Linked DNA regions of Schizosaccharomyces pombe. The gene in region 1 interacts genetically with each later gene. Each region holds a gene or a part of one and is shown on either strand. Other genes may lie near its edges. The genes, in order: apq12 and cdc31.

Region 1 (2,909 bases):
AAAAAAATGAATGAAGTTGCAAACCTGGTGTAGTTCGCTATTAGACTTTAAGATTTTGGACCCACAATTGTTAACTGAAATAACGATGCAAATTACGGACAAAGTGTTACAGTAATATTATGCGATTAATAATACAACGGTGTAATATAATGATATTATTATTACTGAACTTACAAAAATCTGATATTCCAATACTTAATAATTTAATAGAACTAAAGAACGAAGTTTCAGTTGGAAATGATTTTGCAGTCTTTTTGTTTTATATAAATTTATATTATATAATAGCAATGCCTACTCTCTGTGAAATGGAATTATAAATGATAATGTAATACAAAATGAATACTATTGTGTAAAGATGTGCAAACATTGTACGAGCTGCTACATAATATTGCATAATAAAGATATTTTTACATGTATATCACTAATAAGAAGTTGGGCATTGAAGAGTATTAGTCTGCTATCTTTGCAAATTGCTTCTAATATGTATATAAATAGCTTGGGAGAAAATTATTATTAATATTTAGTCTTTAGTAAGATCCAACAATTTAATTTATTAGAGCTACTTGTTTCATGCCGTTCTTAAATGTCCAGAAAAAAGATTTATTCATTCCAATAGAATAAATTAATATAATAAACAAGCATTCCCGCTATTCCAGCGTTAATATAATGGGTTTCATATGCATATTCAAAATGTATATAAAGGGTATACTAGCCACATTGTCATGTGCAGCCCTCGCTTAAGTAATAGCTTAAAACAACTGTGGGGTTATTGAAGAAATGAAAATGTTAAAAACGTAAAAGTTGTTTGTTTGTACGGTTGGACCCTCTAAACACTTTTTTCTATTCTGACATTTAATTAATTTTATGATGAAGATTTTTTTTATGTTCAGTAAGTAAAGCGATGCCTTATAACAATATTACAATGGTAATGGTATAAATAAAGATAAAAATTTTATAGCAATTGCAAGAATGAGTACTTTTGAAAACTCGGTTATTGGAGAATCAAGCTGAAGTGGTTGAAGCGAGCTAGTAATAACTCACTTTAAAGCATTTACCAATTGAAGTCTCACAAGCCTTTTGATATTTCGAAAAGGAAGGAATTATGCTAGGCACTCAGCATAAAAAGAACCATTTTATATGATAAAGGGCAAAGGGAAATTAATTTTCTCTCTATAATAGTAAGTATACTGTTGGATATTTATTCCAAAGGAAATATAGGCGGTGAATTCTACTTTTATCTTCTGATCTCTACGCTTTTATTATCAACCGTAAGAGTCTTTCTTTTATAGTAATAACAATCCAGTTAAAAAGGGATAAAAATACTTATCTTCCTTTTTATATATTACTAATCCTAAAAGAGCTTAGAAATAAGCAATTTTTTATTAACTAGTTCTTTATAAAAGCATATTTATAGAGAAAAGCATTTCATGAAATTATGCTATGTACAGCGAAATACGAAAATAAAATACCTCCTTTGACTAGAACTGTAAGCAACAAAGAGTAAACAATAAAAGCTTGTAGTCATTAGCAAATTAGATTTTTTTATCAGTAGTCTCGATATTAGATGAGATATGTTGACATAATCTGTTTGCCAGTTCTTTCTTTAAATGAGTTTTGTTTATAGAACCGTTTATTTCAACTCATCTTCCAATTTTTATTTTAACATATTTTATTAGCAAATGTAATCGTTGGTAAAATTCGCCTACAACGTCAACATTCAGTCAAAAAGCACACCTAACTACTCCCATCTCTATTACTCCCCGTTCATATTTTAACTTTTTAGAAAATGTCTTTGACATCCGTTTTATGGAATTTCGTCGCCAAACTTGCTGTGGACCATGGATTAAATACCAATCCTGATCAAGTCTTTCAAACCGTTGAAAATGTAGGCAAAAGTTTCGAAAAATATGAAACGTCTTTCCTAAAATCATTGTTCAATGGAAATCTAGGATTGAGCTTGCCCTCAGCTATTAATATCTTGACTTTGATTATAGTGTTATACTTCTCTTTGGTCATTGTAAATAAGACTACCAGTATTGCCCTTGCCCTCTTCAAAACACTTGCTGTAATTTCTTTTTTCTTACTAATCGGTTGTCTCTTTGCTTACTGGTTTATCAATAACGGATCTTTTTGAACATTGACTAGCAGCGTTATCTTCTTTGTTTTTTCAGATTACCGAGTACAAAGTGTTATGGATATGCTTTAAAAAATTTTATTTTAGTAATATATTTTTCATCTTTTTTGTTCCTCATTTCATTTATCATTCAAGATGGTTTCGACATTATTCTTGATTTTAGGACTGTATACGAAGAATGGCTAAAGGCCTGTAAAATATTTTTTAAATTAAAAGCATAGTATTGAGTACATTAAACATCTTAACAATTTGCGTTTGCAATATAAAACTTCAATTTCAATTAGTTACAGTTTTCAGAATTTATTTTTTTTTTGCAACAAAAATATTCAATTGACTTATCAGTGATATGAACGGAGTAATTCTATGAAATGTGAATATGAAAAGGAAGCCATCTCAAATAATACTTCTTATTTGCACAGCAGAAATTTGATTATTGCTTGGCTCAAGTACATGGTGAGTATGACATTATTATTGAGAACGACCTGGCATTTACATCCAATGTTTTCCTTCATCAGAGTTACGCAAACGCATAGACTCGATTTGGATGAAACCAGAGGTCCATGTAGGGTCAAATCCACCAAGCTCATCCATAGATGACAATTTCTCGTCATAAAGATGAGCAGTATCAGATTTACGACCGAGGACAGTGACATTGCCCTTGTAGACAGAAAGTTTAACTACACCGTTTACTACCTCTTGAGAAACGTTGTTAGCTGCTAAAAGCATACGAGTGCAGGGAGAGAAAAATTGTCCATTGTACAAAATTTTAGCGAGA
Region 2 (3,935 bases), on another chromosome or scaffold:
TTCAGCATTTAATTTGCTTTTTTTATTATCATCGGAAACACCCGTATTATCGTCCTCAACTACTAAGTTAGTTGACACCTAAATAATGGGACTTACCACTTGAACGCAAGGTATTGCTCCAAGTATTTTCAGATTCTACACTATCTGATAAAGGGGTTGTAAAATTTTTTCCTTCTTCTGAAGGTTTTTCAGTATTTTCACATCCTCGATGAACTTTGGTGGTTTCACTAGATAATTTGCTAGGAGAGGAAAAGTAGTATTGGCTAGGTTCATCATAATGTAGATAAGATATTTCTTCAACAGTAGGAGGCGTACTTGAAGAAGGGGCGACCTCAGATTCTACTGCTTCATTTTCGGCTTTAAAGGTTCCTTGTGGAAAAGAAAACTCGTTCGCCGTATTTAAAGAAACTGACACCGATACATTATTAGAAGAAATCGTATCTGAAGAAGATTGTCTCGCTGTGTCCGAACTTTCATCCCCTGAAGAAGAATCACTGGTTGACGATAGGTCACTTGAATCTGAAACTGAGCTTGAAGATTCGGAAGAGGATGAGTCAGATTCCGAAGGAGTTGAATTCTTTGATTGAGAAGTCAACAATGAATTGAGCTCTGGTTGCTGTACTATTGAAGCTGAAACGAATTCTTGGTGCAATGATAAATCGGAAGCAGAAATTTGCTTAGCATGTAGAGACTCATATTTGTTTTGTTGAAAATTTGCTTTAAAAATAGTATCATTTTCATTTGAAATTTTCGACTTTTTGGTATTTAAAGCATAATTTTCGGGCATATTAGCGTATTGACTTATAGATGACAAGGGGGCATTTCTCTTTTTAGAAATCCATGAATCATTAGCTTGATAACGAGGTGAGGCACGACCAGCTAAATCAACTTTTTGCATCGTTTCGGGTGATAGCATTTGCTGTTTTTGTGAAGCCTTGCTATTCATGAATTTAGACGACCATTCTCTAATATTTTCTTTAAGTTCATTTGGACTATCTAGTCTTAGTACAAGCACCTCGCAACCTCTGTGTAAGCCTTCAGACCTTGGTAAAGCACGAAGCTCAAGAGTATCTGTCTCTTCTAGGAATAGTCCATACGACATAGAGACAGGTAAAGCGAATCCGTCCTTAGCGAGTTGTAAAAACATTTCATTACCAATGGTGTACCTTTTAATACTTTCATAACCTGTGAAGATAGCGCGTTTATCTTCTAGTCCGGAAAAGTTGAATTTGATGATATTGTAAAGTAAATCAGCCACTAAACTAGATGAGTCTGATAAATCAAGTTGGGACGTATGAATCCATTGTTTTATAGGAACCAAAGGTTCACAACTGCTAACTTTCAGCAGCATATTGACTATATTTTTCTATTAGTTATAACGAGTGTTTCGTTGTGCAGAGGATTTTTTGTGAACACCTACAGGTTATGTGTTTATTTTCATAAAAAGATTATGATTAAAGAACTTAACTGAAAAAAATGCGTCAAAGTAAAAAACCTAGTATGAAGACTTTTTTATTGATTGTGATGGTTTGTTTACAAGTTCTACACGTTGTCAATTTAACATTGTTACCATATTATTCCGTAAAGTAATTAACGATGTGCTACTATTTTGTTAGAATCAATGCGTACAAGAAGTGTCATGTAAATACTCACACACCTGCTGTTATTTAAGACGTTCTGTTTACCACCACATTTACATGTTTGCTAACGCACGGGCTAAAAGGCGTTCAAGGGCATCTTCACCGACTCCTGCAAGGTTGGGAGGATATGCGCCTTTGCGAGTAGAGATTACAGAGGAACAGCGACAAGATATTAATGAAGCTTTTAAGCTGTTTGACTCTGATAAAGATAATGCTATTGATTATCATGAGCTCAGGGCTGCGATGCGTGCTTTAGGGTTTAATGCGGAAAAATCAGAGGTTTTAAAAATTCTACGTGATTTTGATAAAACTGGCAAGGGCTACTTACAAATGGAGGATTTTGTTCGCGTCAGTAAGTGTGCACGTCTTGGCATTGATATATTTTATTAGATGGAAATTTAAAATAGGGAAGACACATACAACTGGCTTGAAAATGAGTTTTTTTTTAAATTTCTTTTTCCACTCTTATATGGCTTGTCATTCTTCTTCTGTTGAACGTGTTTACTAATTAGATATAGTGACGGAAAAAATTGTTGAACGAGATCCATTAGAAGAGATTAAAAGGGCTTTTGAGTTATTTGATGATGACGAGACAGGAAAAATCAGTTTAAGGAATCTTCGAAGAGTTGCAAAAGAGCTTAATGAAAACATCGACGATCAGGAATTGGAAGCCATGATTGAAGAATTCGACCTTGATCAGGATGGAGAAATTAATGAGCAAGAATTTATAGCAATTATGATGGATGAAGCATAATGGAGAACACATGCTAATTTACTTTTTTTTCGTTTACGTCAATTAATAGATAAAGTAGCAATTAGCAGGGACACATGTCTTTCGTTTTAAATTCTTATTTATATATAACAAATCTCTTAAGTTCTTCCAACCTGTTTTTCTATCGTCCAAGCAAACTGCTAAAGAACCCTTTATTTTTCTGTTTAGGCTCTTTCGAAACTGATGTAACAGGTTTTTCCGGTTGTGCTTTCTTTTTGTCAAAAGAGGTCTGCTGACCTAGATATGTAATAGCTAAATCAAAGAATAAAGGCTTTGCTGGAATAGCCCTAATATCAGCGTCTGTAAGATTCCAAGATGGTTCTAATTCTGCAAGCGTTTGATAACTATCAAGTGTTTCAACCAACGACAAGTTTTTAGGTGGTTGATTTATATTTCCCATGGATGCCAAACTTTGTAATAGCAAAATTTTCTTTTTTAGCTCCTTTTCGTCTTTTTTAAGTTCAGGGATTATATCGAATGCTATAAGATGTGGCTTTTCTTCAAAGTTGCGCAATATATCATTCACCTGTTGTAAATACGAGGCAGCTCGTACACACATCGCAAGACTCGCCAGTTTATCCTGTGCCTGGTAAGCATCGGCAATAGCCTGGCAGCGTTTACTCTTAGCCAAAGAAATTTGGGCTTCTAGTTGGGCAGTCATACCAGTATCTCGTGCAATACCGGGCAATTCTTTAGCAATTTCAATGTTCTATAGCAATCTATTAGTATTTGTCCCTCCTTTCTCTTTAAAAATTATTTCTTCTGAATAAAAGCAAAGTCTTACCTTAATAATAGAATCATACAAGCTTTGACGAGATCGAAGCTGAGCTTGTGAAGCAACCAATTCGGAATCATTCTCAACTGCCAAGTCTCTTTGGATACGGAGCAATACTACATTGTAAGCCAAGTAAGTATAACAAATAGAGAGAGTTTGGAATTTTTGCTCGTCTTCAAGGCCTGTGTTATCAAGAACGCTTTTGGTAATTTCTTCTGCTCTAGCCCATGCAGCAAGCAGACGATCTCTTTTAGAGTCTATGGTTCCAGGAGAATTTTTGACATCGTGAATTGCATATAGAGCCAATACGACATCAGGATGCTCTATTTTTACTCTCTGATCTCTCCATTCAATGACTGTGATAGTTTGCAAGGAATCTTGTTCATCTCCGGTCATTTGCAATATTTCAGAATCAACGGAATTTACATGCTGAATTACCTCCTCATCCTTCGGTATACTTGACAACATCAAAATGTCTAATGACTTGGTCTGGTTTTGCAAGCCAGTTCTTTGAGCAACGTATCGTAAATTGGAATCAATTTGATTTTGGAGTTCTCCAAGTACACTCTTCTCATGTTCAGCAAGTGTATCAATTTTATTTTGCAAGACTAGGAATGAAAGTCGAGAAATACTAAAAGCGCTCAAAGAGCCTTCCCAATCTCGTTTCTCGTAGTTTAGAGTACCCTCGATATATTTGGCAAAAGCAATAGCCTCCAAATAAAAGATATGATCGTTGCAATCAAATGCA

The links.
Region 2: of apq12 (region 1) and cdc31, a mutation in one rescues a mutant of the other (synthetic rescue), as found in Schizosaccharomyces pombe (one study listed by BioGRID).

What each region holds. Positions count from the first base shown.
Region 1 is NC_003423.3:447,148-450,056, forward strand, and holds apq12 (nuclear membrane organization protein Apq12), read left to right. Parts: upstream 1-1,786; coding exon 1,787-2,134; 3' UTR 2,135-2,251; downstream 2,252-2,909. Other genes in the region: arg12 (argininosuccinate synthase), read right to left, coding at 2,624-2,909. UniProt on the Schizosaccharomyces pombe protein: Involved in the regulation of lipid homeostasis in the endoplasmic reticulum, thereby impacting nuclear pore complex biogenesis and localization, and nucleocytoplasmic mRNA transport.
Region 2 is NC_003421.2:376,532-380,466, forward strand, and holds the start of cdc31 (spindle pole body half bridge protein, centrin Cdc31), read left to right. Parts: upstream 1-1,674; 5' UTR 1,675-1,697; coding exon 1,698-1,992; exon of another isoform or gene 1,993-2,158; coding exon 2,159-2,394; 3' UTR 2,395-2,533; coding exon of another isoform or gene 2,534-3,121; 3' UTR 3,122-3,196; coding exon of another isoform or gene 3,197-3,935. Other genes in the region: coilin Mug174 , read right to left, coding at 1-59, 97-1,351; srp68 (putative signal recognition particle subunit protein), read right to left, coding at 2,534-3,121, 3,197-3,935. UniProt on the Schizosaccharomyces pombe protein: Required for the proper coordination between exit from mitosis and the initiation of septation. Has a role in bipolar spindle formation during spindle pole body (SPB) duplication. Required for the localization of sad1 to the SPB.